3 linked regions of the Arabidopsis thaliana genome follow. The protein of the gene in region 1 interacts with the protein of each later gene in a pairwise test. Each region holds a gene or a part of one and is shown on either strand. Other genes may lie near its edges.

Evidence for each region.
Region 2: the proteins of GG1 (region 1) and BIR1 interact in a two-hybrid assay, tested with the Arabidopsis thaliana proteins (one study listed by BioGRID).
Region 3: the proteins of GG1 (region 1) and XLG2 come close enough for resonance energy transfer, tested with the Arabidopsis thaliana proteins (one study listed by BioGRID).

What each region holds. Positions count from the first base shown.
Region 1 is NC_003074.8:23,413,701-23,423,165, forward strand, and holds GG1 (Ggamma-subunit 1), read left to right. Parts: upstream 1-3,548; 5' UTR 3,549-3,562; coding exon 3,563-3,796; intron 3,797-4,307; coding exon 4,308-4,360; intron 4,361-4,500; coding exon 4,501-4,545; intron 4,546-4,620; coding exon 4,621-4,705; 3' UTR 4,706-5,281; downstream 5,282-9,465. Other genes in the region: AT3G63400 (Cyclophilin-like peptidyl-prolyl cis-trans isomerase family protein), read left to right, coding at 1-94, 183-639, 741-1,082, 1,165-1,245, 1,468-1,735; APG1 (S-adenosyl-L-methionine-dependent methyltransferases superfamily protein), read right to left, coding at 2,116-2,274, 2,351-2,657, 2,752-3,302; TRM5 (zinc finger CCCH domain protein), read left to right, coding at 6,714-6,827, 6,923-7,702, 7,773-8,501. UniProt on the Arabidopsis thaliana protein: Guanine nucleotide-binding proteins (G proteins) are involved as a modulator or transducer in various transmembrane signaling systems.
Region 2 is NC_003076.8:19,601,564-19,612,583, reverse strand, and holds BIR1 (BAK1-interacting receptor-like kinase 1), read left to right. Parts: upstream 1-5,436; 5' UTR 5,437-5,836; intron 5,837-5,965; 5' UTR 5,966-6,051; coding exon 6,052-6,891; intron 6,892-6,977; coding exon 6,978-8,000; 3' UTR 8,001-8,495; downstream 8,496-11,020. Other genes in the region: AtSPO22 (Tetratricopeptide repeat (TPR)-like superfamily protein), read right to left, coding at 1-506; AT5G48385 (FRIGIDA-like protein), read right to left, coding at 872-1,312, 1,655-1,827, 2,051-3,113; TGG3 (thioglucoside glucosidase 3), read left to right, coding at 8,701-8,848, 8,972-9,028, 9,137-9,198, 9,287-9,362, 9,460-9,610, 9,705-9,832, 9,885-9,958, 10,045-10,160 and 3 more.
Region 3 is NC_003075.7:16,435,948-16,447,902, reverse strand, and holds XLG2 (extra-large GTP-binding protein 2), read right to left. Parts: upstream 6,818-11,955; 5' UTR 6,325-6,817; coding exon 5,284-6,324; intron 5,191-5,283; coding exon 5,053-5,190; intron 4,961-5,052; coding exon 4,856-4,960; intron 4,774-4,855; coding exon 4,615-4,773; intron 4,535-4,614; coding exon 4,387-4,534; intron 4,274-4,386; coding exon 4,038-4,273; intron 3,930-4,037; coding exon 3,766-3,929; intron 3,658-3,765; coding exon 3,063-3,657; 3' UTR 2,897-3,062; downstream 1-2,896. Other genes in the region: AT4G34400 (AP2/B3-like transcriptional factor family protein), read right to left, coding at 307-558, 663-754, 847-870, 955-1,173, 1,275-1,421, 1,501-1,873, 2,494-2,580; AT4G34380 (Transducin/WD40 repeat-like superfamily protein), read right to left, coding at 7,581-9,068; ARI1 (RING/U-box superfamily protein), read right to left, coding at 10,866-11,026, 11,117-11,826, 11,955-11,955. UniProt on the Arabidopsis thaliana protein: Guanine nucleotide-binding proteins (G proteins) are involved as modulators or transducers in various transmembrane signaling systems. Binds GTP with specificity. Plays a role in the root morphogenesis by regulation of the cell proliferation.

The sequences.
Region 1 (9,465 bases):
ACGAGTGATGGGAAACCTACTAGCCCAGTCAAAATAATAGACTGTGGTGAAACGTCTCAGATAAGAGCACATGATGCTGCTGAAAGAGAAAAAGGTAATGAAGTTAATCTTTGAATGTGGAGTTTCTATAATAATGATGGAGTTTCTAGAATAATGATGCAGATATATTTAATGTTTATTAGGGAAATCGAAAAAATCAAACAAGAACTTTTCTCCTGGTGACGTATCTGACCGTGAAGCTAAGGAGACACGCAAAAAAGAATCTAACGAGAAAAGGATAAAACGAAAAAGAAGATACTCTTCGTCAGATTCATATAGCTCAAGTTCCGACTCAGATTCAGATTCGGAATCAGAAGCATATTCATCTTCCTCCTATGAGTCTAGTTCTTCCAGTGATGGGAAGCATAGGAAGAGGAAGTCAACAACAAGACACAAAGGCCGACGCGGGGAAAGAAAGAGTAAAGGACGAAGCGGGAAAAAGAAAGCTCGGCCAGATAGAAAACCAAGCACGAATAGTTCAAGTGACACGGAGAGTAGCAGCAGTTCTGATGATGAGAAAGTGGGCCACAAAGCCATAAAGTCAGTGAAAGTTGATAACGCTGATCAACACGCCAACTTGGATGACTCAGTGAAATCAAGGTTTATCTCCCTGGCTTTATGTATTTCAGCTTTGCTTCTGCAATTTGGTGGTCTGATTTTGTGGTCACTGACAAACTTTGCCATTTTCTATTGCTATACAGGAGCAGGAGCCCAATTCGTAGGAGAAACCAAAACAGCAGGAGCAAAAGTCCTAGTAGGAGCCCTGTGAGAGTTCTTGGAAATGGAAACAGAAGTCCTAGTAGGAGCCCTGTGAGAGATCTTGGAAATGGAAGCAGAAGTCCTCGTGAGAAGCCAACAGAGGAAACTGTGGGGAAATCTTTCAGAAGCCCATCTCCAAGTGGTGTGCCCAAGCGCATCCGAAAGGGGCGTGGGTTCACCGAACGCTATTCCTTTGCTCGGAAGTACCATACTCCTTCTCCTGAGCGTTCTCCTCCTAGACATTGGCCTGACAGAAGAAACTTTCAGGATAGGAACAGGGATAGGTAACTTAATCTATACATACATACAACAAAGGACGATAGCTCTGCGGATAGTACTAAAGCCTCATTTTGTTTAATTATGTAGGTATCCGAGCAACAGAAGTTACTCTGAGCGCTCACCGAGGGGACGCTTTAGAAGCCCACCCAGAAGAAGGAGCCCTCCAAGGTTCGCTTTCTTATCTCTGTACAGATTCTGGCTTTGGCTTGGGACGATATAGCTTGTAAACCAGCACCTAGAGCCACTTGCATTAGATTTATATCCTAGAACGACCCTTTTTGTGATATTATTTTGGTTAAGCAAAACATTCTAATTGAATGCTGAAAGTTGAAAAGAGCAACTTTATAGCAATGTTGGATGTCCTCTGAAATTGAGTGTTGTCTTGCATAGGTACAACCGGAGGAGAAGGAGCACTTCTCGGAGTCCAGATGGGTACCGTAGACGATTGAGAGACGGAAGCAGGAGCCAGAGTCCGAGGCATCGTAGCCGTAGCCAGAGCCCTAGAAAGAGGCAGCCAATTAGCCAAGACCTGAAATCCCGTCTCGGGCCACAGAGATCCCCCATCAGAGGAGGACGCACCTCTCCTGCAGAATCACTCAGCCCTTCTCACTCACCTTCTCCACCAGGAAAGAGAGGTCTGGTTAGCTATGCGGATTGATGGTCACTCTCATCCATTGGTTTCTCTGCTGACTTGCGAGTTTTTGTTTTAATTTCCGTGTTTTAGTGCAAGCAATAATAGGTAATGATATTTTTTATGTTGGTCGGATATATAATACTCTACCTTAGTTGCATTATTACAGATCGTGGAACATTGATCAAATTGAGACTGATATATGTTGGCAGAATTGAGTTTGGGAATCGAAGTTTGTAGAAAATTTATCGAACAAGTAGCATAGATATCTCAACATGAAAATCTAGTAATACATGTAAAGAAAGAAGGTTAATGATATTCCGCATGTTCATAGATAGGACTCGAATCTTTCTTTACCACAAGAGGGGTTTACAATGATACAATGATCATGTCCTAGAAGAGAAGGATCAGATGGGTTGGTCTTTGGGAACGATCTGATCCTTGATCCACATGTAGATAGGGATTAACACAAACCAGGCAGCTGCTAGAGTTCCCAGGAGGAAGCGTCCCAAGAAGGAGAAGGGGTTGTTGACAGGCTTCTCTACGTCCTCTTCCTTTGGACCAAGCTGCAGCATTTGAGTGATAAGTTTAGTGTATCAAAGAGAGAAGAAAGTAAAAAAGGTGAAGTGGGAGGTAAAAGACCTGGAGAGGAGAGTCACCGGAGGCAGGTTTAACACCAGTGACAGAACATCCCATGATAAGGCCGTGCCTGCGAACACCACGGTACCACTTGGGGCCAATCCTCTTGAGCTGAACGTCCTTGAAACCGGCATTCTTGAACCACTCAATGTACTCTTCCTCCTTGGGGAAGAGCATCCAGACATCAGAAAAGAAGCGAGAGAGCCAGAAGGTTGGGTAGACAGGGCCGATGAGACACGCTTTGCCACCGATCTTGAGAACCCTGTACGCTTCCCTTATTCCCCTCTGCGGGTCCGGCCAGTACTCAATGCTGTGTGATGATGAGACACACAATCAAACCCACCGGAAAGAAGACGATTATAAGAAGAAGAAGAAGAAGAAGAAGAAGAAGAAGAAAAGGATACCTTCCAGCAGAAACGTATCTGTCAGCATAATCGGTTGGAAAAGGAAGATCCTCAGCATCTCCCTCGACGATCTTGCATTCTTTCAACGGCTCCTTTTGCTTTGCTTTGGCCAGCTGATGTGGCGACTGGTCCAGAATGGTCACATTCTTGGCCTTCACTGTCTTGACTATGCCCAGAGTAGTGAAACCAGTTCCGCCGCCGACATCGACCACTCGCATGTCCGGATGGCTGAGATCCGCTGGCTCAAGAGCGTCGTCTCTCATATCCTCGGTCCAATGCCCAGGATTGATGACATGGTCGTATACGATGGATAAGAACCTGTAGAACCAGTAAGCCTCCTTCTTGTGCTGAATGAACCTAGGTTGCGCCGATGGCCGGGAAGACGACACGCTGCTGCTGCTGCATCTAGTAGCCACCGAGAGTCTAGGTGTGGAGGTTCGGGTAACTGAGAGTAAGGTCGGCCGAGGAATCGATCTGGCATGCAAATTGGAACCAGGGGAACCTAAACCTTTGGGGAAGGTAATGGCCCCGTTGAGCATCAAAGAGGCCATCGATGACAGATCCACCAAGTTGAGAAGAGGGAAGAAGAAGCTTATCTATCACCAATTCTCCGCCAATCAAAAACACAAACGAGAATGAGAGTGTGACTAAACCCTCTAACTCTAACAGAGTCAGTACTGACTCCAACCACATGTTTATGTACGGTCACGTTGTTTGTTGCGACAACACATATCCCTTTGTTGAGCCCATGGGCTCATTTGCAAGAATTGGCCCAAATAATAGTATTGGGCGTTTTGGCATTTTTCTGCAAATGGAAGGGAAAAGTCGATTTGAGTCAGAGAGAGAGAGACTTCGACGACAATTCAAACTTGTACGGACTAAGACCAGACTCTCTCTGACGTTGTCAGATCTGCGACCTGCTAGCGAGAGGATGCGAGAGGAAACTGTGGTTTACGAGCAGGAGGAGTCTGTTTCTCACGGCGGGGGCAAGCACAGGATCCTTGCAGAGCTTGCCCGCGTTGAACAGGAAGTCGCTTTCTTGGAGGTAGCTAAACTAACTCGTATCTCTTTCAAATTCCGACGTAGGTCTCTCGTGGATAGCTCAATTATCCTTTTTAGATCAATTGTTACAACAATTAGGTAAAGGTCGCTAAGATTGTTTCCTGTGAAAGCAAAAACCAGTATGGCAGATCTGTTCCAATCAGAAGAGCATGGTAGTTCTCTTGACAATAAGTGGCACCATTTCAGTCAGTCTTGTTTATGACTCTATGAATTGTATTCCCAAAATCTAAATCTGCTGGGTTCTCTTTGGATCCACTATTGGAATGGTTCTCTGTTGATCTTATTCTTAGGGATGTGCAAGAATACTTTTGATCATAGTCCAATTAGTATCATTCTCTCTTGGTTATCATCTATCGAGGCATGTTAAAAGTTAACCTTCTCCCAAGTTTCTCTGTTGCACAGATAATGTGTTTGCCTATTGTTCCTACTAGTGAGCTCTAACACTTACTAAAAATAGCTTTACTCTCTCTTTCTGTTTCATGTACTATATCCAGAAAGAGTTGAAGGAGGTCGAGAACACAGATATTGTATCAACCGTGTGTGAGGAGTAAGTATGGGATACTCAACCTATGTTTTTTTTTAACGCTTGCAAGCAACTGTGTGCTAGCTCCTGTAGGTATATTATCTGGATTTGACTGAAACTTGTACGTTGATTGGTGATCAAATTGATATTCCCTTGGTTCGCAGGCTGCTATCTGTCATCGAGAAAGGACCCGATCCTCTGTTGCCACTGTGAGTGCTTTTTAAACCTTGAAACTCTAGTGTTGGTTTGGACTGAATAACTGATGGATGTTGTGGTGCTGGCAGAACCAATGGACCTTTGAACTTAGGATGGGACCGGTGGTTTGAAGGACCAAATGGAGGAGAAGGCTGCAGATGCTTAATACTTTGATTCGCTAGACAGAGTAATGTGTTACATATACTAGTTTCTTGCTAGGATATCATTTTACATGGGATCCAAAATGGGGCTGTAGCAGAGAAAAAGCGTACAGATTAATGAGCATTGGAATTGCATAGAACGGCTTAGTTGCACCTACGTAAACAGTATTATATGTATATGTAATGTATGGGATCCGGATCTGACATACGAGTAATGGAGTTTCAGGCTTACAGCTTCTCATCTTCTTATTCTAGATCTTGTTGAAAGAAGCTGAAATGTGCATAGTGATATTTGGGGGCTAATAGAGTAATAGCTAATGAGGAAGTGGGTACAATCTTGAAGACCGTTAAGTGTGTCTCTCTTTTTTCTTTTTAGATAACTTTTGGCCACATCCACCCTCCATGATACACACACGCTAGTTTCGAGGATCAGAATACATACATACCTATGTTTATTATATAGATAGAACGATAATGGAACACAGAGCACATGCCTCATCTGTTGTCTTTTTATTATTACTTATTACTCTTCTCCTCCACTTCTGTATTATTACAGTCTGTTAAAGTAGAACCCCCTTTTGTTTTTTTCTTTCTATGTCTCAAAAATTAAAACAAGTTATGAGGTTTAAAAAAAAAATTGAGAAATGTAGAGGGTATTAGTAGAAGTGATTTACGGTAAGTTTATTCGACAGCTAAAAAGATAGTTTATGCATTCCAAAATATTCCTCAAATTTGTGATGAGTAAACAAATACTGGTAAGGTGGGTTTTCTGACAACCTTTGGATATACAGTAGTATGTCATCTGTTTTCATTGCCTCATTGGTCAAGATCAAAGTTGATGACCTCATTAGAGCTCCTTCTTCTCCCATAAATAAAAAAAAATTGATCAAAGTTTGTAGTATGAATTTGTTATATAAACAGAAGAGAAATTAACACAGAGATGTGAGTTGGTCCAAAAGAAAAATGATTGAGCAGCCGGAAGAAGCACGTTACAACATCTGCAGCATATCTGGTCAGAGAGAGTACAGAAATATTGGGGATTCAAACAATTCACCTCGTGATGAAACCTGAACATTGAAACATGCATTATAGCCTCACTCACATGCTCACATAATGCCAAACCCTTTTTCTCTGTTCCCGCCTTGCTTTTTTTTTTCGTGGCAATAGAATACAATACATTGGTTGGGTGATTAAATAAAGAGAATGACTAGGATAAGTAAGTTAGCCGTTAAAGTTGTAAATCTCGAGTAAGTGAAGTGGTCCGTTTTTATGAAACTCATAAAAACGAAAGTCCCATGTCCCTAAAACACTAGTAGAATGTGGTAACGTATCTTCTTCACATTCACGTTTTCATATGGGAAACGAATGAAATAAACAATGCAAAACGCAATAACTTAATTAGAATCTTGAACTGGCCGATAAGTGCAACCGTAACGGAAAGCAGAGGCAGAGAGAGAAGAGAGAAGAGGGAGAGAGCTGCCTTGGGAATAGATAGAAAGAGAGCGTATCAACGGTGGTCATTACTTTATGATGGCATTCCCAACTTTGAAACTGCCACGTCGATGTCGGTCAACAGCGGGGTCCATATCTCCTCATCTTCCGTTCCATATTTTTTCCACGTGGCATTTTTCTTTCCTCTTGAAACAAGAATTCAGAATTGAATCGTAAACTCTGAACTAGAGTAAGTAAATAATGTATTGACTAGAAGAAGAAGTAAGTAGTACGGGCTGGGTAAGTAAAGATAATAAATATGCGGGGTTTGATCTTTACTTATTTATTAGGACTCAAACTTAGCCATTATTAACTCAAAAATCAAAATTACTCCTAAAACAAGCAGATAGGAAAAAACACAAATAAATAAAAAAAAGGAAATTGAATGCAGAGTTGTCAGAGTGTATTTAAAAAAGAAAAAAAAAGCACGTTAGGAGGAGTATCCTTTAGACTAGAGTAAGGGAGTGGGTGCTTTAAAGAAGCAGAGAAGCGGGAGAAGAGTGTGCAGCAGCAACAGCCAACAGAAGAAAATGGCAAAAGAGAAAGATCTGGAGAAGCAAATCGGCGGTTGCATGGCCGGCTTCTTCAACATCTTCGATCGCCCCAGTCTCCTCTCTCCTAATAAGCGTCTCTCTTCCTCTCCGGTAACTTGTCTATCTCTCTTTCCCTCTTCTCCTGTTCCTAGAGGGATGCAATGAATTGACTTACCAACAAAACAACAATGTCTGTGTTTCTCCAGAGCGCTGAATCTGAATCTGCCTCGGGTAGGACGAATCAGCAGAGTGTGTACTCTACCCCTGAGCTACGCTCTCCTGCGCCGGCTCAACAAAGATCTTCTTCTTCTTCTTCTTCTTCCTCTAGGCCTTGGAGGTTCTCTAAAGAAGCTCCGAGGCTCTCCCTCGATAGCAGAGCCGTCGTGGATGCCAAGGGCTGCCTCAAACACAGACAGATCCGAGCCGATGCGGTTGAGGCTGAGAACCAGCGCGGCTCACCCAGTGTGATCGCACGGCTCATGGGATTGGAGCCATTTCCCCAACAGCCTCTCCAGAGATCTGCATCCGAGTCCAGGGTCACCAGAGACTACATATTTGACTTTCACGATGACAAGGGAGCAGCTCAAGATCCGGCTCCAATTAGGAACGCCCGAGCCCACCCAACCTCAGTAGTACGCCGAAAGAGTTTCTTTGATTCCGGTGATTTCTTCCCGAGAGTTTCCAAAATGAGTGGATTTGACGCTCCCCCGACCGATCTGGAAACCCTCAAGCAGCTTCTCGAAGCTCTTAGGCTCAAAGGACTCTTGCACTCGTCTTCACTCAAACATCAGAGCAGGAATCTCGTCTTCGACCATCATTCTCCGATCAAACCAGTGAGGCGGGATCGCATTTCCCCGAGCGTCAATAGGAGGAGACCAAGACCAACGCTCAAGGAACAGAGGAGAGTCTCTTCACTCCCTTGGCGGAGACCAGAACCTCTCCAGACGAGGATTGAAGACCAGAGTAGCACTCTAGCCGAGGAAGAGGTACCTCATTCATTACTCGACATTTTATCTATCAAAAAGGCAGCTAATGAAATACAAATTCTGTAAGCAGATGTGGAAAGTGGATGTGTATAACAGACAAGGCAAAACCTTATTGGAGAGATGCGACAAGCTGCTCCACAGCATTGCTGAAATGGCCGCTGCTGAGGCCGGAGACTCACAACCGAGCCCCGTCTCTGTTCTTGACGCCTCAATTTACCACGAGGACTCTTCTCCGTCCCCCGTCCTGAAACGCACCCTTGACTTTGCTGATGCTGAAGAAGACGAATCCTGGGGTGGCTCAATATTATCATCGTCCGACTCTGAATATGTATACATCTCGGACATCCTCCGAGCCTCAGATTGCCTTCCACAAGAGTCCGACAGCTTCTCCTTTCTGGAAAAGCAGCAATACCTCAAAGGAAAATGCGCCTCCAGAGCCGCAGCTCAGGAAAGACGCCTCATCTTCGACGCAGTGCAAGAGATTGTGGCGCGGAGAAGGAGCTTGCCCCCGTGGATGATGGTAGGAGAGGCTGATAATAAGATGCAAGTGATCTGGTCTGAATTTCAGAAGATAAGAGACAAAAAGTCGTCCACGGAGGAAGATGACCTTGTGGGATACGTGTGCGGGGTCCTCGGAAGAGATTTGTCGGAGGACCGATGGCGAGATTTTCAGGTGGAGATGTCAGAAGCAGTTCTTGACGTCGAACGCCTCATATTCAAAGATCTCATCGGCGAGACCATACGCCAGTTGGCTTTTCTTAACAGGTCCGACTCGCTGCGTAGGAGGCTGCTCTTTTGATATAAAACTAGACTAAATTCTCTGACCCAAGTCTGAAACTAAACCCAACCTACGACCTATACCATGTCTAACCAAACATGCGAGAGTGATAGTTCTTTTGTGTGTTTTTTTGTGTGAAATGTGTGATTTATCAAGTTTGGGACTTGGCGCCTGTTGTCTAAAAGACTAAAACCATACACTCTTTTTTTTGCTCTTTCTGAATCAAACTGCTGCTCATTTGTGTGGTGTATTCGGACTAATAAAGACTTTAAAAGTGTTATGGGCTTCAAGTGGACCGTTTATCTCTAATCATAGTCTACTCCAACATTCATCTACTTCAGTAGTGGCCCATTCAGACCCAATAAGGCTTTTCGGCATTGACTTATATGAGCAGAGAGAGAAATATGCAAAAGATGATCAAAGAAAAACTTGTGATTTGTAATTTTCAAAAATATGCAAAGAAAAGCGGATCATACTCCAGTAGTCTTTTTCTTTGAAAAACAGAATCATATAATAATATCTTCCAAACTGTAAAAAGAAAACGAGAGAGGTAGACACAACACACACTTTTATTTTTTTTGAGGTGGAAAAAAAAACGTTAATGGGGGAACAAAGCCACGTGAAGGTGGGAAGAACGCACCAATTATAGTATAAGGTGACAAGTCAGCAGAGAGGTCACAGTCGTGGACCAATCCACTTCCAACACCACCATAGCCGTCCCTTCGACACTTTGGCTGACAAATGTTCAAAGGCATATTTTATATTGGGACCAAGATTTTGCTTGGGACAAGCTATGCCCCACGACTCTCCCGCTAGTGCTCTCTGGTCGCTTCTCCTCTGCTTCTAGAGACCAACCATTTCCACCAACTCTGTTTTCAGTTCACACACCTCATTCTGCAATGCCCACCACCGCACCAATGGAGTTGAGAAGAGCCCAACTTCTTTCTTCACTCTCTGTTCAAAACTGGACTGGTCAAACCATCAT
Region 2 (11,020 bases), on another chromosome or scaffold:
ATATCAATTTTCGAGACGATTTCGGTGGCTCTCTCGAAGCAATCGGAGGCGAGATCGAATTTCTTGAGACTGTGATAAACAAGACCGGTCTTATAGTAGAATAGAGAGGACTTAATCGTCGGAGATGGAACACCGGTAACGTCCTTAGCGAGAAAAAGCATATCGGCGGCAACATGTCTGAGATTCGCAATGTTCTCGGCGGAGGTTAAAGAGGATTGGAGAGAGGCGGCGTTAGCGAGATCAACACAAGCATTCCAGAGGCGAAAGCTGAGTTTCCATATGGTAAGCTTGAAGGAGTTATCGGGAAAAGGAGCAAGTTGACTCAGCCGAGTTAGGAATTGTCTAAGAGAAATAGGGAGAGATTGAGGTAGCGGCTGATCTTTGGAAATGGCTTCAGATTGTTGGATTAAGAGCTCGATCTCGGAGAGAAGAGGATGGTGAGTGTGTGAATCGGTTTCCCGGTGATGTAACCGGAGGTCCGGCGTGGTGATCTCGGCGATTCTCATTTCGATTGTTGGCGGGAGATTTCAGAGAGAGAATTGGGAATTTCGAAGGACCGAGTCTGAGAGAATAAGATATTTTCGAAATTCAAATTAGGGTTAGTATTGTAATTTACACCTCCTGTGTAGGTTAAGGAAAAATAATAAAATACAACATTAAAGATATAATAATTAATAAGAAAATCTGAGTATTTTTTTGTTTTTTGTTTTGAGTAGGGTTGATCCTTAAAAATACTAAAACCATCCGTACACAACAACAACATCAAAGGGAAAGAGAACTAAGGAGAGGAGTTAAAAAAGAGCTGCCACAAGTTAACACCAAAGGGGAGTCACAGTCACAGTCACATTTTACCATTCACCTTTTTTTATCACTAGTGAAAGTAAGGAGGAGGAGGAGGAGCCTGGTACTGATAGCAGTTCGCGTAGAAGTTCCCATGTGCAGGAGCAGGATTGAACGTGTAAGTCTGAGGAGGAGGAGGTGGTGGAGGTTGTGCTGCCATGATTGGACCGCTAAGGAACGGTCTGTTGTCATAGACATACTGCGGATACCTTTCAGGGATGACTCTACCGTATCCTGTCTTGTTGTTGTTGATGTTGTTGTTGTTGTCAGTGACTCGGGGTTGAGCACCACGTGGTCGTTTTGGCTGAGGTTTCATGGGTTCTGTTGCTCTCTTTTTGTCCGCTTTGGCTTTCTCGAGCTGGAGAATCCGTTTGTGAAGTGGCTCAACTGGGTACTGCTCTTCCAGGCTATGCTCTTCGATACACTTTATAACGGTTTTGAGGCCTATAAGCTCCCGCTCATTGAACTCATCCTGCATTGGTACACACATAATAATGTACAACAATATGAGACTGATCCTGCATCAGCAAGTACTATGATATACGCCTAAAGTAATTGATAATGAAAGCATCGGTTTTCAGTTTCAAATGGTGTTAGAAGTCTGGAGTAAAATATGACAGCTAACTGAACAGAGCTCAGGAATGTTCCAGCGAGGTAAGATTTACTTTTTCAAATAGCCAGATGCTCGAGAAAAGGTAACGAGTTCAATAAAAGATAAGATCACTCGTTCTAGGCAAAATGCATTAATATAGCCCTTCATTTTCACCAACAAGGTAATCTATAACTGCAAGTTATCAAGTCAGGGAACACTTGCCTGAACAGCAGGAGATGCATTGCCAGGTCTGCCTTGGGGGGAAGATCGCCTTGCCTCTATCAAGTAAGATTTCAGTAATGAGACAGGTGAGAACTGTTCTGTGAGTTCAAACGCAAATGCCAAGTTAACCGCATCAATCTGTTTTCCACTGTTCACGAGAACTTCAATCACACCTGGAATAAAAGGAGCAGTGCACATTAAAGATAAGATCAAGGGATAAGGTAGAGAATCTGGGTGTAAACTAAACAAGGAAAAACACAGATATCCACCATGTTTAGGCCCTTGACCAGAGACCCTATCACTCACTAAATAGTTACTATCAAACATCAACTTTCCTATCGAAATGTCATAACCTGTAAGATAATCAGCCATATACTAAAAGTTAAGAGAACAAACCAGGCATTTTTTCAGCTAATCCAAGTGAACGGCAGAGCTCAGCTGCCTGACGGCGACGTGAAACCATGGGGATCAGCTTTAAGAGTTCATCTTCTTTAAAATCAGCAACAATAGCAAAAGTGGCCAGCAGTTGCAGGAATGCATGAGCCTCCAAAGAATTACCATTGCAAGCATCCATGTCAAGAGATTCCAGCAGTGGATTCCATCCTTCTGCAATAGTTTTGGCTCTATGCTTAACATTTTGTGAGAGAACAACAGCAAGGCAGTTGCGGTCCAGACCAGATAACAGTATGCTAAGGCACTCCATCAACATGATACAGGTTCTGCGCATGCCCAAGAGGTTAGCGTCTTTTTTTCCATCAGCAGTTGGTGCCTCCATAGGGTAAAACCCTTCCAAAGAGTCCAACACTAAGCTGGCTGGGTTTGCTGCAGCCCTGAACGCCATAGGAATCTCCTCCTTTAGTGATGCAAGGTTCTTGCGGTTATCTGATACAAACTTATGGAGACCCGTTGAGTCCATATCCCCGCACAGTTTCAGTAACTGTGGATAAGCCTTCACCTCATAATTTCCCATCACAGGTGAGATCTGAACATCTTGCACAATACCATCCGGATTATCATCGGTAATACTATCAGCAGCAAAGACATTGGATGAATCCTCTACAGCATTTTGTGGCCAACGTTCACCAACAGAAGGTTTACTGACAGGAGCGTTGTTATACTTATCCAAAGCACTGTTTATAGTAAACATAGCTGCGTCTCTCTTCTTCTGAAGCCTTTCAAGCGCCGCCTTCTCCTTAGCCTCAACAGCTGCCTTCTTTTTCTCCAACAGTTCTTGAGCTTTCCTTGTTTTGGTTTCATACTCTTTTTCTTGATCTTCAAGCTCATGAAACCTTCTCTTCAAAGACCTCTCAAGCCCATGAAAATGCTCCTCAAGTTCCTTCCACTTCAGATTAAGTGTTACAGCACGCTGACTTTCAAGTTCAGCAAACGCCTTCTGAAGCTGCTGAATCTTGGATGATGTAGAGTCCATGAGTGAAGCAACTGACCGAGTATCCTCCATCACAAAAGAGCCTAAATAAAACGGAAATTTAAGTAATGATTAAAAAGTCCCGAACAAATAAAAACAAACATGAGTACAACGACATTAGAGGCCAGACACAATATTGTTACCAATTCAAACAAGTCCAATCTCCAAGCTGCGAATAGAGAGCTCCACGAAATCTCGATCCTTGAACAACAAACAACTACAAAAAAAAAAATCATCAAGAACAGATAAACAAAGATCAGTCAAAACTATCCAATGACAATATCACTCGTTAAAGATAAAAACAAATTAGCTCTGTAACAAGACCGTACAAGTCATAGTGGACAACTATGTAAGAAAATGGCCTACAAGGCAAGTAAAGACAAATGAACAAGAAACCCCCAAAAAAATGAATCCATTCAAGAAAAATTCACACTATTTTTTAGTCACAAAGATAATTCAACCTCAAGAACTAATCAGACGTACTTATAAAAAAATTAGCTGAAATAATACAAATACAGATTAAGAGAAGAGTAGATGACGAAATGAGAGTAGAAACAAGCAAGCTGATTCAGTGATTCTATGAAATCCCAGCTTAATCCATCACATAAACAAACTTCACGACCAAAATTCAAGGTCATAGCAGAAATTTTGAGCTATATTGTGGAGAAATCAACAAACCCTAGCTACAGTGAAGAGAACACGAACATGAACTCAAAACAAAAAAAAAGTATATACCTCAAGAGAAGATAAAAAAAAAGCAACTTTACCAGGAAAATCAAACGAAGTAAAAACCCGTAAGAAGAAGAGATCAAAAAACTTCAAGAAGGACCACATGATCGTAGATCCATGGTGAAGAGCGATCGAGAGAAATCGAGGTTAGGCAGAGAGAGAGAGAGAGAGAAGAGGAAAGTGAAATCCCTAAAAAGGAAAGAGGAAAGTAGAAGAGAGGCAAAATAAAAGGAAGCAAAGCGATTTATAACAGACACTTTATTAAGCACACCCAATTTTACTTAGTTGGCACGTGAGAGAGACTGGTGTGGTTTAATGGCTCGTTCTTCACTATCATATCTGGTTCGGACCAGACAGCTTATGTGGCTCTAGTCAAACCCTTTAAAGTTTGCGTCACGTGAGTTTGTCTGAAACTGCCGGGAACTTGTAATTTACTCTTTCCTCCTTTTTTTCTATTAATTGGTATATTCACCATCTATGTGTATCAATCACTCTTTAAATTCCTTAACTTTTTTTACCAAACACCCAATCTTTTTAACCTGTTGACGAAGCTTTGGCTTCATGCTTAAGGCTATGTTATAATGGGGAAAAAACTAGATTGCACAATCTTTCATAGACTGATATTCTTCATCGGATGTTTCGATCATATAAATTGTCTCCAAGGATGAAACTATGTGTCTAATTTTTTTGAATGCAAAATTTATATATGATTGTTTTCTTAATAAGAGCAACAATGAAAATATAGTTTGGTTATACATTGGTATTTGTCAAAGAGGAAAGACTAAACCAAGAGTAAATAAATCTTACAACTTCCCAAATTGTTGGAATTCTACAATTGTATTATATATGGTGAATGATTTGGTACAAAACATTACAAATATCAAATGAATTTCGAAGTTGGTTCAGGTCACGAATGGCGGATTTGGCTTGGGAGAGACTAGAGGTTGTGATTCGTGGTTTATCTCCTCTCTAAAATCGTTATGTTACAAACTGACTATCAAGGATAATCATATCAATCAAGATAATGAAGAGAATCAATATCGTCAATCACGTTAATTGCTCATAATCATTGTATACAATATTAAGTTTCCTTCAGTAGCTTTCTAGTCTTTGTATATAAACACTCTGTAATCATCTTGTTTCATATATTCGATATACTCTTAGTCTACATGGTATTAGAGTCTCTGTATATAAACACTCTGTAAAATTTCTAAAATCGTTATGTTACAAACTGACAATACATAAACAACACGAATTAACATTTTGGGGTGTTTGCTGAACCGTGGTTGGCGGGTACATCTGCTAAATGAACAAGCTTTTTATATATATATATATATATATAACTGTCAACCCATAATTTAAAGATTCCAACAACAACAAAATAAGTACTACTCCTAATAAGTATTTAAATATGTGACATGATATTCAATTTTTGTGATACAAATTATTATGCATTGGTATTTGTCAAAAACTAATACCAAGAAAACATTTCTTGTAAATGTCATATTCCATTCTTTGATTTGGTCAAAACACCAAAACCATTTACAAAATATCCAGAATTATCTAAAAACGAATGAAAAGCGAAAAATACCAAATGGAAGAAAAATTTGTCCATCTCCTAACAAACAAGATAATATATATGATGATGTTGAAAAGTCAAAAAGAGAAGAAAGAAAAAAAAAACATTTAACGCGCAAAGACCGATTTGGTTTTTGTTGGGAGTCATTGCGTTCTCATCATCAGTGTCTCTCTTTTCTTTGCCCCATTCTTCACGAACTTTCACTAGACGACGACGACGATCCAAAGTCCCAGTCAACTCACTCACAAAGACGACTCCTTTATTAAATTATTCCCAACTCCTTTCTTCATCATCATCATCATCATCATTCATAACCACTTAGCCACAGATGCGATTTTCTTCTCCTTCTTCATTGTGCTCTTCAACACTTATGAACAAGAGCACCACCACCACGACAACGACGACTACAAAGACCAAAGCTTTCGTTTTGTGTTTCTGATTTTGATTCGTAAGTTGTTGTAAATTTTTCTAAGTCAACTTCAATTTTAAAGATCGCTTTAGTCTTTTTGATTCGCTGGCGATAATCCAATTTTCGTTGTTGCTAATAAAGTTTTGATTTTTTTTTATTTGCTTACAGGATTTTGATGCTCATCGAAGAGAACCCTTGATTTTGTTGCTGTAGTTCATAGAGATTTTACACATTTTGTGGAATTTAGTGGATTTATGATGATGGGTAGGTTAGTTTTTGTAATCTGGCTCTATAATTGTCTCTGTTTGCTGCTACTCTCGAGCTTGGTTGACGCGGATCAGGCCAACATAGATTGCTTAAGGACCTTTAAATCTCAAGTAGAGGATCCAAATAGATATTTATCGACTTGGGTTTTTGGCAACGAGACTGCTGGTTATATCTGCAAGTTCAGTGGTGTGACTTGTTGGCATGATGATGAGAATAGGGTTTTGAGTATTAAGCTATCTGGTTATGGTCTTAGAGGAGTGTTTCCTCCTGCGGTTAAGCTATGTGCTGATCTCACTGGTTTAGATCTTTCTAGAAACAACTTCTCTGGACCTTTACCAGCCAACATTAGCACCTTGATTCCACTTGTTACGATTCTAGACCTCTCCTACAATAGCTTCTCTGGTGAAATCCCTATGTTGATCTCCAACATTACCTTTTTGAACACTCTTATGCTTCAGCATAACCAGTTCACGGGTACTCTTCCTCCCCAGCTAGCGCAACTTGGACGGCTCAAAACATTCTCTGTGTCTGACAATCGTCTCGTTGGTCCTATCCCAAATTTCAACCAAACCTTGCAGTTTAAGCAGGAATTGTTTGCTAATAACCTGGATCTGTGTGGTAAGCCTCTAGATGACTGTAAGAGTGCTTCTAGCTCTCGTGGTAAAGTTGTTATTATAGCGGCAGTTGGTGGACTGACTGCAGCAGCATTAGTCGTTGGGGTTGTTTTGTTCTTCTATTTCCGTAAATTGGGTGCTGTTCGGAAGAAGCAGGATGATCCTGAAGGAAACAGATGGGCAAAGAGCTTGAAAGGACAGAAAGGTGTTAAGGTAAAAACATCATTGATTTGAATTTTGCTGTATGTGGTTATGTTCTAAATTTATGATATATGTTTGGTGCTTTTGTGAATGTTCAGGTTTTCATGTTTAAGAAATCGGTTTCAAAGATGAAATTAAGCGATCTTATGAAGGCAACAGAGGAATTCAAGAAAGATAATATCATTGCAACAGGAAGAACAGGAACTATGTACAAAGGTAGGCTTGAAGACGGGTCTCTACTTATGATAAAGAGGTTGCAGGATTCTCAACGCTCTGAGAAAGAGTTTGATGCAGAGATGAAGACTTTGGGCTCTGTTAAAAACAGAAACTTAGTCCCTCTCTTGGGCTATTGTGTTGCCAATAAGGAGAGGCTTCTAATGTATGAGTACATGGCAAACGGTTACCTTTATGATCAGTTACATCCTGCAGATGAAGAATCCTTCAAGCCCTTGGATTGGCCTTCAAGGCTGAAAATCGCGATTGGGACGGCAAAAGGATTGGCATGGCTTCATCATAGCTGCAACCCGAGAATCATCCATCGCAACATAAGCTCGAAATGCATATTGTTGACTGCAGAGTTTGAGCCAAAGATCTCGGATTTCGGTCTAGCTAGGCTGATGAACCCAATTGATACCCATTTAAGCACATTCGTCAATGGAGAATTTGGGGATTTCGGTTATGTTGCTCCCGAGTATTCAAGAACCATGGTTGCAACTCCAAAAGGAGATGTCTACAGCTTCGGTGTTGTGCTTCTAGAGCTAGTAACGGGCCAAAAAGCAACGAGTGTAACAAAAGTATCTGAAGAAAAAGCTGAGGAAGAAAACTTCAAGGGTAACCTCGTGGAATGGATTACAAAGCTATCAAGTGAATCAAAACTGCAGGAAGCAATCGACAGGTCCTTACTTGGGAACGGTGTGGATGATGAAATCTTCAAAGTACTCAAAGTAGCATGCAACTGCGTTCTACCGGAAATAGCAAAGCAGAGGCCAACCATGTTTGAAGTTTATCAGCTTCTAAGAGCCATTGGAGAGAGCTACAACTTCACCGCCGATGATGATATCTTAATCCCATCTGAATCAGGTGAAGGCGATTTCATTGAAGAGCTCATAGTTGCTCGTTGATCAAGAGGAAGGGTAAGAATTGTGAAACAAACATCTCTAGTCGTAGCAGTCCAAAGATATATATAATGTATAAGTATTGTTTTTATTTTATTTTTGGGTTCTCGTCGTCGATGGTGTGTTGTAATATGATATATTGTTAGATGCACTCTCTTATTACTATGTACTAAGCTTTGGGTGTGTGGTACAGTCACTGTTTTGGTTTTGCCACTACGTCTTTGCTGCCTTATATTTTGCAGCACTAATTTGGTTGAGGAGAATACAGTCATCACGTGGGATATCTTTGAAGACTAACTATGTGCTCGATTTGGACCCACTGACTATGGAGATTTCAACGAAACTCTGTCCGAAATTGGACAAACCACAAATATATTGCAATGACGAATGATTGGGTCAAGAATACCAAATTCAAAATAACTAGACTTAGTCAATTCTTGGTTTTCTTTTTTTTTTGCTTAATTCTCGTCGACAATAATAGAAGAATTAACAAGTGTTCTTACATCACCTTTTCACTTCCAATTTTATAGGAATCCATGATTCCATTTCGTTAGCTCCTTGATGTAAAATTTCTATTTAAGGACACCAAAACAAATATACAAAGCAAAGATTAAATTTTCTACAAAAACTTCTTCTTTTAAAGTTTAATTGAGACCGCATTAGGTTTCCATGCAGCTGAATGAAAACATACATGTACCGATTAACCATGAAGTTTCGTGCACTCGGCTTAGTTCTTCTATTAGCAGTGGAGACTTGCAAAGCTGAAGAGATTACGTGCGAAGAGACCAAGCCATTCACATGTAACCAAACTGATCGTTTCAACAGAAAACATTTCGATGATGACTTCATCTTCGGTGTTGCATCTTCTGCTTACCAGGCATGCAACAGATCACATATTCTCCCAATTTTGACGTAAAAAACAATTCACTAACACTAAATTCCAACGTTGCATGGTTGTTTTGTTTCACTTCAGATAGAAGGTGGAAAAGGCCGTGGCCTTAACGTTTGGGATGGCTTCACTCACCGATATCCAGGTTTGTCGTTTGCATGGTTGATATATAAAGGCTTACATATTTATACGAGAGAAGTGTCGGTACGTTATCTCTCTATACATTCATAGTAATGTCTTTGTACGCTACCAGAGAAAGGAGGACCCGATTTAGGGAATGGAGACAGCACTTGTGGATCATATGAGCACTGGCAGGTTAATACGTGTGGAATTACTGAATTTAGTCACTGAATTTTTATCAACTACGTGTGGAATTTACATGTGATTATTTGTATTACTACAGAAAGATATAGACGTAATGACCGAACTCGGGGTTGACGGCTATAGATTCTCGCTTGCTTGGTCAAGAATCGCTCCAAGTATGTACACATTAATCCATGCATGTATATATGAATATATATTGTTTGTCGTAAAAATAAATCTACGATCTATATGAGCAGGAGGAAAGGTGAAGAGGGGAATCAAACCAAGCAGGTGTTAAGTACTATAACGATCTCATAGATGGCCTCCTAGCAAAGAATATAACTCCTTTTGTTACCCTCTTCCATTGGGACCTTCCTCAAGTTCTGCAAGATGAATATGAAGGTTTCTTGAACCATGAGATCATGTATGTTATCGATGCCATGCTACTTCTTAATAAATATGACAACATATAAAAGATTTGATCTCGCATTAACGAAATGATTCTATAATATGAGCAGAGACGATTTCAAAGATTACGCGAATCTATGTTTCAAGATATTCGGTGATAGGGTTAAGAAGTGGATCACGATCAACCAACTCTATACCGTTCCTACTAGAGGTTATGCAATGGGAACAGATGCACCGGGTCGATGTTCTTATTGGCTTAATAAAGATTGTTACGCCGGAGATTCTGGAAGAACCTTATATCGTTGCACATAACCAGCTTCTTGCTCATGCCAAAGTCGTCCATCTTTACCGGAAAAAATATAAGGTGAGTTCTCTGGTTGAAAAAGATATAATCTGACATCTGATTCTAGATAATTTTATATATATATATGCAATGCTTCCTCACAACAGCCAAAACAAAGAGGACAGATTGGAGTTGTGATGATTACTAGATGGTTTGTTCCATATGATAGCACTCAAGCCAACATAGATGCGACTGAGAGGAACAAAGAATTCTTCTTGGGATGGTATATCTCTCAATATATCCAAAAATAAATAATAGATGTACATTTATAGAAACTTATTAAGGCATGTGTATAAAATAGGTTCATGGAGCCACTAACAAAAGGTAAATACCCTGATATCATGAGAAAACTTGTGGGTCGACGCCTTCCAAAGTTCAATAAGAAAGAAGCCAAACTTGTAAAGGGTTCATATGATTTTCTTGGTATCAACTACTACCAAACTCAGTATGTCTATGCCATTCCCGCAAATCCTCCGAATAGACTCACCGTCCTGAATGACTCGCTCTCAGCATTCTCATGTACATCTATATCTATATTGCTATTTAGTTACAACTTTTCTTTACAAATACTATCTTCTTAATTTGTTTACAATATTTTGTGACCATCCCATTACTTTATCTTTGTGTTTACAGATGAAAATAAAGATGGTCCCATAGGTCCATGGGTATGCATGCATGATCCATCCCTATATTTCATTATTTTTAAGAAAAAGATAACATACATAAATATACTTGGGATTTATCTATGTTTCCCTTTCTCAGTTCAATGCAGATAGTTATTACCATCCAAGAGGAATTTTAAACGTGTTGGAGCACTTCAAAACTAAATACGGAAACCCATTAGTCTATATCACTGAGAACGGTGAGTTACTTATCCTTGTAATTATATTTTTTTTCTCTTTATGCATGTTTAGTTAATTTATTTCTAAATCGGTCCAAGAAATCGACTCATTTGTGTAACTGGTAACGATGGTCTAACTAGGATATAGTAGCCCCGGTGGTGACACACCCGCCCTTGATGTTATAGCTGATTCCAACAGGACTGATTATATATGCAGTCATCTCTGTTTTCTCCGTTAGGCC
Region 3 (11,955 bases), on another chromosome or scaffold:
GTAGAAAGAAAAAGCTAAGACAAATATACAGTTTTCGACCTTTCTTTGATTTTTACTCTTTCAAGGATTTTTTTTTTTTTTTTTTTTTCAAGGATTTTTACTCTTTCAAGGGTTTAAGAGTTAAACTTTAGCTCAAAGATTAGATATTGTATTCAGAAATAGATTCATGAGAGAACAAGAGAGAAGGTCATACAATCTGAAGTAGACAATAATGAAACACATAAGTTTGCTTGATCACACAACAAGATGGAAATCAGAGAGATAATTAAGTAGCCAAATCTCTTCCTCTACTCATACTGCTAGCGTCTACAGATCCTTACCGCGGATGACATGGAGTTTGATTGCGTAAACGAAAGTTCCCTTGCGCAAGAGCTCACACAAAATGCGGTCTTCTTTCTTCAACTTGTTCCTCTTGCATATGCGCATCCATCTTTTGATACAAACACGCTGATCCTTCCATTTGGCTGTTTTAGCACTTAGTTTCCCGAACCTGTCGATGTAGTTAACATAGTCTCCAAACCTCAAGCAATAGTCTTTCACCAGTTGTGCATGAACCAACTGTAAAAAAGATACGTACACAAAGCAGACAAGAACGTTAATGAAAACAATCTTTAAGTTAAAAAGAGTAGTAGTATATGAGGACAAGAAGTTGCAGTTCTTACCAGCTCGTATAACCTATTCTTCACGTTTGTCTCGAAATGGATATTCTTAGGATCATCGAGGTATCTCTCAGGATTCTTGATCATGGGATCGACTGTAAGAATCTCAAGAGACAAAAGCATTAGCATCTCAAAAATCAATTACATAATGAAGTGATGGAACTAATTAAGACAACAATGTGATTACCTTTCTTCCTCTTCTTTGCCGCCTCTGGTTCCATAGACAAAGCAATGTTGCATTAAGATAAGCATGGAAGAAATGAAGTTAAAAGTGATGAAAGTAAATGTATTTTACCTTTCCTCTTCAGATTAGCAACCTTATTTGCAACCTTTGGTTTGACAAAAGAGGCAGTGGCTGTGTCTTCTTTATCAGGAGCATAAGAACTGTCCTCCTCACTGATGGAATTCTCTTCAATATCCAATTGACCAAACGTTTCAATGTAATCACTGTCACTGTCCTCCTCTTCGTCTTCCTCGTCATCAGAGGACTCCACAACTTGTTCTTTCTTCTTTCCTGAAAACATCTCAACAAAGAAGACATGATTGTCAATATATAAAACAATCACATAAAGAAACAATTCAAGTTATGCAATGAGCTAACGATGAGTTTAAAACCTTTCTTCTGGCTTTTTGGTATTGTTGGCTTGGCCACCTTGAATTCAGAATCAGTGTCTGTCTCTGTTTCTTCACTGCTTTCAGAATAAACACTATCCTCCTCCTCATCGTCATCAGAATCCTCCACAACTTCCACTTTTGACTTTCCTGCAAACAAAAATCTCAAAAGTCAAAACAAGCAAAATCACATAAAAGCAAGTGATGGGAAAAAAAGCTAACAATGAACCTTTGTCTCTGCCTTCCGGGACTGTATTCTTCATCTCAGATTTAGCACCAGTGTCTGTGTCTTCACTGCTCAGAGATATAACACTGTCTTCTTCTTCCTCTTCCAATTCAGTGACTTCGCTAATCTCTTTACATGCGTCGTAGCCGCGAAAGATACTGACCTCGAATATGTGAGCTCCATTATAGGCAAAGGTCAAAAAGTCTCCATCGTTAAGAGTATTATCCCGAACAAATTTGGGCCATCCTTGTGAAAAAAGCACTTCATCATCCTTTATCTCCGTCGCTACCTTCCAGGAGCATCCACCAGGTCCTCGGAGAATCACAGTCTTGGGGAAACGATGTGGAATGTGATCGTAGTAGGAAACTGGGATCACCTGCTCATTTCACAGAAAAATTGTTTAACTTATAAGCCAAACACTCAATAGATAAGTAAAGACACAAAAAAAACAAGATAACTTTAAGGTAAGTCGGAGAGAGTCATTAAAGAGGCTTTCCACACACAACAAGATTTGGTTTCAACCAAAAGCGTAGGGACAGTTAAAAGAGTCAACTTTCCAGAACCAGACAAAATCAAAGCATCCAGTCTCAAAATTTTATATCTTTCAGCATTTAGAAGCAGAACAAATGTTTCTATTCATCAACAGAAAAAGAAAACAAAATCTGAGCAAAACTACTTTATACTTTGATGAAATTTAGTTCCAGTAACCAAACATATCCAGTGTTAAGTCCATAAATTAAGCTGATTCATACAGAAAGTTTAAATCTTTAGTCAGAAAAAGGAAACCAAAGGGTAGGAATAAGAGCAAAACCCTAGAAACAGAAAAAGCAAAATCTATAGAGGAAGCTAAATGCAGATAAACACAGTGTTTGTTTCATAAAAACCATCAGACATAGTTCAAAGAAACCACTAGGCTAAGAGAATCTACCCAGTTCAAGAATCGTTTGCTCATGAACAGATAAACCTGAAAGAAGAAACCTCGAGAGAAAATCTTACCATGAACTCTGAGCTGAAATGGGAGACGAAAACAGTGAAGAAACGTGGAGGGAGCTGGAAATCATTGCTAGCCATTGAAGAGGCCATCTTGGATCTGTGTGTGAAGAGAGTGAGTGAGAGAGAACGAGTGAAAGAGAAAGAGAAAGAGAAAGAGAGAGAGAAGAGTAAAGAGAAAAAGTAAAGCTAAAATGTTGTATGAAGAGAGAGTACCTTACCTTGACGCTTGAGTCAAATCAACGTTTAAGTTTTTGCAGAGAAAGGAGGTACAATCCTCAGACCCTCGTATTCTGCGTGGCCATTTCAAATTATTTTCTTTTAAACGGTTTGATCTCCCAAACTGAACCGATAATTTATTGCTACTCCGGTCCAGTTCAACCTCAATAACCGTATAAGTAAATGTCTGTTAAACCGGGAAAATTCACTTTATTATTTCTCTATTTTTTTTCCCCTGAAAAATCAATCACATGAATGTATCTTCACACTACTACATATACAACAAACATACACACAGAGAGAGAAACAAACTTATGTAATTTCCACAAAGAAAGAAAGAATTTTAGGAAAAAATATCAAGAGGACGAGCTGGCCTCTATGCTAGTAGTAGACATCTCTTGGAACATGGAAGTTTCTTCAACATGCCACTTGAGAATCTCTCTCGCATACCTCAGTGCATTGTCCACAGTATCACTCTCCAAGCTCACTTGACAAACAAACAATTTTGGCTTAAAGCTCCTTCCACGCATATTTACGGGTTCCAAGATTGAGTCATAGAGTCTCTTGAACTTATATCCAATGTAATGGAAAGCACGCTGAGCCATTGGAGGGTTGTGTCTGCTCGTCTGGTTCTGGCTGATCAATGGGTTGAAGTCTTCAAACCACTCACAGGTTCTTAGAGGAACCTCTTCGATCTTTTCTTCTAGGAGATCAAATTTGGTTAGAACCAAAAGAAACCTTTTGTTAGCTAGGCTCGGGTGAGTCACCATGTTCTCGAAAAGCTGTTTGGTTGCAAGCATCTTGTTCACAATATTCCCCTCACCGTCTTCTATGTTTTCTGCATAGTCTGTTAGTGAGACACAAAATATCACCAAGTCAGCGTCTTCAAACATTTCCAGCAATTTCCAGTTTTCACCAAGGCTTCTCGGATTTAGCCGGATGAGTTGGTACCTAAAGAGAGAGAGAGAGAGAGAGAGAGAGAGAGAGAGAGAGAGAGGGTAAGTTCAACGGTTTTTCATATAGCCGGAATGCAACACAAGGAAAAAGAACAGAACTAACTTCATGTCTGTATCATGTTGATAATCGCTCTCAAGAGACTCTTCTTGAGAAGTTGATGGGAATGAGAAGTCCACACAAGAAAGTCCTTCCATAGAGGAGAGTCCTTCCGCTTGCAATATGTCCATATCAGAAGGATCGTATTCTGATCTCGAGATCTCAAGAATCTGAGAAGAAACAAATTTGGGTCAGTCATCTTTTTCCCCTTAAACAAAAGTGTTAAGGTCCTGAAAGAGCGTTTATATATGCAAGCAGGCAACTTGATGTAAACTTACTCTTTCAAGAAAATAAACGGCGTTCCTGGGAAGTGTATCGCGAAGTCTTTTGTAGGTGGCTTGAATAGCTGGTACTCTCCAGAGATCTGCAACGGTTTGAGCATTCTCACGGCTTGATGGTGGAAATATCTTCAGGTTTCCGTCTTCCTTTTCTTTCAAAACCCAATCTGAAAAATGTTTTAGTCTCGGGTTGATCGAGTTACCTGGTTTTGCACTGGTTTCATCTCCCACATTGCCTAAATCCCAAGAACTCGATCAGTCTTCCTCAATAATCAATTGTTAACTGATGTTTGTATTAGAATATGAATGCATTCTTATTCTAATAGTTTGTACAGTCAATAATAATTACCTGAAGACTGGTCATTGCTCATCTCTTTTTCAAATCTTTCATGTGCCTCAAGAACCATTGCCAGATAGGTATAGAGATTTGTTTGGATTATGAATTTGATTCTTTCACGGTCTTCTAAAGAGAATGAGACGTTGTAGAGAGACCTTGCCTGAAACAGAAGAAGTCAATTCCCGATTCTTTACTAGATGTGAAACATTCAAGTGGGAGGCATTAAGATGAATAGCTCACTTGTTTGTAAATTGTAGTGGCGCCACCTTTTTCGCTACCAATCAAAAGAAGCTTGTTAAGCATCTTCTGCTCATATAAGGGCACATCATATGGTTCTACTGCAGACGAAGCCGGAGGAACTGGCAGAGAGAACACAGCGCAAGCAATTTTTGCTCTCTTCTGTAAAAATAATATCCTTCGTTGTCTTTAGTTTTATATTTAATGTTGTGAACGAGAAAAGCTGGTGATCAGGAAACCATACCTTACTCCAGATGTTCCCGATGGGATGCTTTTGACCTTCTTCTCGGTAAGAACCATCTGAATCGACCCAAAAATGAGGTTTTCCTTCACATTGCACCCCCGCCCACTACATCAAAGCAAAGAAGCGCTCAGTTCAGAACAATGACACATACACTAAGCATATTTGTTATCCAAAACAAAGGTGAAAAGCAAAAGAACCTTGAGCATCGTGAGCTCTGGCTTGGTTATTTCCCGGCCATTAATATAAATTTCAGTGTCTCCATTGCTTACTTTCTCACTGATGTATCCTCCTATGCTGTTGTTAGGACTTATAATCTGACTAGGTTTCTCTCCTATCTGATTAAATAAACACATAGAGGCTCTGATTTAGCTGAGCACTCAAAATACAATCCCGATAATAGATACGCAGACATATATAAGAAACTGTACCTTTCCCCAGTAGCCAGCAACCTTATCATACCAATAGTGTCCGGGTTTTAGCTTCTTGGGTGGATTTGGACATGTCTGCAACGTGTAAAGCTCATCTTCACTTAAAGGCTTGTCATTGACAATGATAAGTCGTGAAGGCAATTGATTCGCCTTGCAGGTGATCTCGGCATTCATGACTTGTCGAAGTTCAGAATCCGTGAGATGGCGCTTGAGCATTCTTGAACACTTTCCGAGACTTGCTCTCTTGGACTCATCAATCCTATAACCAATGCAAGCTTGACACTTTCTTCCTTCGGGCATCGCACCCATGGCTCTGCGCACACAGTTGAAACAGTATTTGGCATCGCAGACAATACAGACTTCCTTCTCAGTAAACCGGTTCCCCAACTGGCACCGGTAACACGATCCTCTTTTACCTTTCCTTTCAGCTCTATGCGTTGCAGCTATACTTTCTCCATCAGAAACATAGGAGCTCTCATCACATTCACTACTCTGAAAAGGTTCAACGAATCTCACTGCTCTAGGTCCCACATCCGAAACTCTGTCATCATCTAAGTGATCCTCCTCTCTCGCTGATGCAGACAATGGTGATGATGGTGATAACCGAAAATCAGCAGGACTTTTCACTTCTTCTGGTACATCCAACCTCTTTGATGATGATGATGATGATGAGCCAGAAACAACATCACGCCCTATCAAAACCACACTAGAACCAGCTGCAGAGTCAACGAAACCGTTCTTCTTCTCTATTCCAGAATCAGGTGGTCTCTTGGTATCCTTAGTCATAACGAGAGGTGCCACTGGGTAAGAGATACCACTCCGCAAGGAAGAAAAGGAAACGGGAAGAGCCGTAGGAATCTGATCAACTTCAACGGGAAGAGCTCGTGGCACATTAGCAATAAGAGGACCTTTATACTCACTGGCGAATGAATATTCGATTCGATAGCCACTACTTGTTTCATCATCATCGTCACTTTCTCGATTATCCCTTTTAGGATTCGGTGATGGGAAAGGTAATAACTTTCTTATAACTGCAGCCATCTTCTTACCCAATCAAGCACACATACAAACCCAAAAAAGCCCTAATTCCTAAAATTCCCTAATTTAGAAACTTAACAACTTATCCGAGAAAACGAGAATTCATGAAGTGATAATATACAGATCCTAAGCCATTAGTGGCTTAAATAATCAAATCACAAAGCGCGTGAAATAAGAACGCAACTACAGAAATATAGAAAAAATTGATCACAGAAAGCTCCTTTAGCTTAAAGAAAGAGACGAAATTTAGTTTTTTTTTCCAGGAAAGTGGCGATGGAAGGAAGAAAAATCAGCAAATAAATTTTCCGGGAAAAGGGAATTTGCAGAAGAAGTAAACAAAAAGAAGAAAGACAGAAAGATGGGTTGGATCGTATACACTAGTAAAAGACGAGGACTTGACAAAAAAAGGGGAAGACTTTCTCTTTGTTTTTTATTTTCTCTGCAATCAAAAGGAAAAATGAGTTATTTTCCGGGAAAATTCTTGCCGTCAACGCGGGTTAGGGGAGTTGAAAACGATGCGTTGCGAAAGGCGTTGATGGAGTCAAAGAGAGAGGGCAATTTCGTAAATATATCTTCGGTCCTGCAATAATGTTCGCATAACCCGAATTACACGGTTAATAGAAAACCGGAGGTGTTGACCCTATTTAAGTATTTATCAAAGAGAGGCGCAGAGACATATATGATGATCCCGGTTGTGGAAATGTTTTCGGTTAAGTGATTGAATAAGACTTTTTTTTTTTTGCTCATAAAGATAGATTAGGTTTAAATGGTAACAGTAAATTCACAAAGATTAGTAATTTCTAACAACTTTGGGTGGATATTTCCAGGTTGGAAAATCAATTAAAAAATATCAACATCCTATATTATAATAATATAGAAAGACTAATTCTAATGAAGAGGAAAACGACTCATCCAAAATTCCAAGTTATAAAGTTGCAACCACGACATAGACCACTAAAGAAAACAAATATATATGTTTGATTCGGTCTTTGTTCTTGTTATCTTACAAATTTATGGAAAATAAATAAATAATTCAATTTCGTTTCAAACATTTTTTTTAAAGAAAAAAATAACCAAAAAACTCATTACGTGAAAACCATTAACCCGACTTTGATTCTCACACCAGCTAGCGTGGCACAAACCTCTCCGTTGACTTAGTCATAAAAATGAAATCAATCCTCTGTCTCTTTCCCGGCGTGAATATGGCTCTCGTGACGACGTGACACTCTCGTAAATAATCACACTATGCTCCTCCACTCTTATTTTTCCACATTGCGTGAACTCCACGCGCCACTTCCTTCATGCGGAGACGAAGAGCTCTTCCGCTCTGAAGATGCTGCTGGCTCGTCCATCTCCTTCCACGTGGCCATTCTCTCCGACACGCGCCACACTTTCACCGACTTGTCCAAACTTCCGCTGTATATAATCCACTTCCGGTCTCCCTCGGCCACTGAGGCTTTTGCTCCCTGATGACAAGCCCGTTCCTCCTCCACGGCTAGGCACTTGACCGGCCCCATGTGTCCCGTCAAAACAGAGAGACACTGATGGGACTTGTCAGACGGGTCCCGCCTCCATACGCATATGTTCTTGTCGGCGGAACCACTCAACAGCAAGTTCCCCGCTATACCTAGACAAAGCACTGCGGATTTGTGGCCTTTGAGTATTCCGCCTGTGAATGACCGCTTTGAACGCTCCCAATAGTTCACTAGCCCGTCCGAAGAACCGCAATATACGATGGAAGATTGTGATTTTACGGCCAACGCCGTGACCGCATTTTCTTGCTTGAGCAAAACTTGAGCTAACGTATGTTTTGTTCCTTTGCCTTGCAACTCACGTTTCCACACTTTAACAGTACCATCTGCGGATCCCGTGAACACCAAGTCATCAAAACCGGACATTACAGAGTTTATCGCGTCATCGTGTGCATGTATCGATTCCAAACATTTTGAATCCGCGATTCTCCACACTTTGATTGTCGTGTCCCAAGAACTCGAGTACAACAATCCAAGCTCCACGTCCAAGCTAAGACTAGACACTGCGTCGTTATGCTTCGTCTTCACAGAGTTTCTGTTGCGGCGTACCTCCATGAAATGCTTAGGGTTGACGGAGCTCTTGACCATTGATTTAAATGTTGGCAATGTTCCAACCCGCTTATGTTTTCCTGGTTTTCTCTTCGAAACCTTCCAAATCCGGATCTTCCCGTCTTGATGGCCGGTAAAGATTCGGTCTCCGAATATCACAATGGCCTTGATTAGCCCACTACTGGATTTAAACCCAGCGTGTTCCTTCAAATTCTTCCAAACCCTAATGTTCTTCGAATCCGAGCCCGTGTAGAGAAGGTCACCAGAAGCGGCTAGCGAGTATATATGCCCTTCTTTTCTAACAATAGATCCAATGAGACCGTTGGTCTCGAGGACATTGTCTTCGTTGAAATCTGCACCCCAAGGAGGCGACACGCGGGCCCAAGGCGACATTACGCAAGGAGAACCTTCTCCGCTGGCCGGACCGCTGCTCATGGTCGAGGCCGAGACGCTGCTAAACCGCTGGTGAGTCACGTTGCTGTTGATAATGATGGGATCGTCGGGAGGGAATATCTCGTCGTGGTCAGTTTTCGAGATATTACCAAATTTAGGCCTAGGTTTGGGACCCTCGCTAAGGTCGTAGCTCAGATTATGGCGACTGTGAATGTTGTTATATGGATCGGTTTGGAGATCAACGACCATGGTACCACCCGTTTCGTTCCTCATCTCTTTCTTCAAATCTTTATCACAAAAGTCAATTGCTTGAGTTTTTTCAAAAAATATGAAAATAGAATAATGATAAAATCTCTCCTTGCCTTTTTTTTTTTGATTAGGGTGATTTCTTTTTTGGGTGGTGATAGCTATGAATAAGATAGTCGAAGGATGATGTGTGTTTGTAGTTTTTGGTTGGCAAGGAGGGACAGAGACTTTTATGGAGATTTTTACGGAAAATTGGAGGGTCTAGAGCAAATATTGACTTTTAATTAACAAGTTTTTTGGTTTGTCAACGGCTCTTGAGGAATTGTTTATGGGGTTGCGAGAATTGATCTTATAAATGCAAACTTATATATACAGACACGAAATATCCAAAAGATTGGTCATTTGTGATATGTGATAGGGGTGCTTCACACGTGGTTGTTAATAGAGGAAGCTTCTATGATTAATCCTAAACTATATCCATGCATCGAATGTTTTCTTTTCCGTGGGCTTTACATGTACTCTCTATTACATTGAATTAGAACGTCCTTTGTAAAATGCATCTGAGTTCAGATACATTGGAATATTAGGCACGCAAGCCGAAAGGTACTTAAATCTCCTCCATAACTCATTTCACATAGCTTTACTGCCTAAAATACCATTTTTTTTTGGTTTGGTTAAAAAGATAAATACTTATATATGTACAATATTGTCGAGCATTTGTTGTCCTTGTCCCGCAAGGCCACAACACTTGATATATCCAGACAAATATTCTTGATAACGAATTATAATTAAACATATACTTACATATCAAGAAGACTATACACCACTTGAAAAGATTAGGCAAATTGTTTAGGCATGATTCCACTATCTATCAATTGCTAACTATTTATACTTATCTCCATTAAATTGGCGTTTACTATTGCAAATCGTTCTTTTGTTCTTGCTATAAGTTGCATCTTAGCATTAACAACTTAATAATGTATAATCCTTTGCAAACTTAATTCAATTATTTGTTTTTATTTAGTGGGCTCTTGAAAAAAAAAACCAATTTTTTTTTTGCGGTGATGTGTATATAAGACTAGATGCCATTTATACCAAAAGAAAGTACTTATTGTTGAAGAAAACCATTTTTATCAAGCAGTAATCCCCTTCCTTAGGTAATCATCCTAATACTAATTCAACATTTAACCAACATTTTATCATCCTGATACTTTTTGAGGCAAAGAAAGCAGTGAGTTTTATTTTTATTTGAAAGAGGGAAAAAGCTGGAAGTAGCATCTGATGGGTACTGTACGAACGAGCACAGATTCTGAAAGTTTGATATATTTGGCCACTCCAATGACAAAACACAAAGCTCCTTTCTTTTGCTTAATTACTCAAAAAAAAAAAAAAAGCGAACGCAAACTCATGATAATAAGTTCAGACCAGTTTCTTTACTTCTTTTGTCTTAACCGTAATTTATTACAATTTGTGGGTTACTTCTCTATACTTGGGATCAAATCAGAAAATGAGATAACAACTAGAAGCTATACCGGTAAATACAAATGTTTTTAGTTATTAAATTAGTTACTAATAAAATAACTCTTTTGACATCATAGACATTGAGAAGCAGCAGAGTTTAAAGAGGCTGAATTAAAGATCTATAACTAAAGAAGCAAAAGTAAGGGGTAGTCATAATTATAGTTGTACGAAAACCAGAAAAACTATAAGAAAGACAAATTAATCAGTCCAGAGTCACGAGTCTTGAAGGTGATAGATATATAGTCAAACACCTTTTGCTATGTCATCATATCTCATTTGGACTAAGCAAGAGAGGATTTGAGTTCAGTTCTGGTCGACGAAATCAGCTGGCAAGTTCAAATCCAATAAAGTGACTTTGTTGTTTAAGAAACTTCCTTCTTTTTTGGGACGTTTCTGTGAAGATGAGCAAATGGTGTCTTCCGAGCTCCTTGATCCTGAAGCTTGCTCAGGCCTCGATGTCACTCCTGTATAAAAATATTTATCACTCATTAGGATTTTGATTCATTGATTCGTTACTAGAATACAATGATCATCGTTCACCGAGAGTTGATTACCGCTTGTACCACTATCCAAAGGTTGGAATTTGTCAGCATCTTTGGAATTCCAGGAAGCATAAAACTGAGCTGCTTGTTCGATTCCCTTCGATCTGTAAGGTGAGATGTTGTGGATGCCAAGTTGGAGAGATCCGAGTAAGTCATTCTCAATGCACTCGTACATTTTCTTGCAGAGTGTATCGACGGCGACAGACAAATTGATGATTTGAATCCTTATCGCCATAACTTTATCATTACTAAATTCATCAAAGGGCTCCTCAAGGAACTGCGAAAGTTTCTCCACATTACTTTCAAGTTGTTGCTGCTGATCCTCAAACAAATTCTTCTTTATCTCTCTCTCCTCAGGGGTCATCTCATCTTTAAACATCTCTTCACCAAACATATAATATGCAAAAGCATACGAATATGAAAGAACTCGCCTTGATCTGAATAACCGGTCGAGTCCATTGGTGACCCAGCTGAAGTCTTTAAGCTTCAACTCCCTCTTTTCTGATTTCGACACTTTCTCATGGATAGTATCCCTAAGTTTATCTTCTAGCTTTGATGAATCTGTATGAGCTTTGTATCGGTGATGATAATGCGTATACCTGTTTAAATCTCTCTTCGCTCTTTCCATCTGCTTCTCTTTGTCATCTTGGTACCGACCACAACTGTGACCAGCGATACTCCTATAAGTGTGATCACTTCCAGTAGCTCCACCACATAGCCAACTGTACATTTTAATAACCAAACATGAGAGACACTTCCACCATTTGACATTTGATCGTCTCAAAGCATAGAAAAAACAAATGCAAAATAGGAAAAAAAAGCATTGAGGAAACAAGGCTCGAGTTCTTACC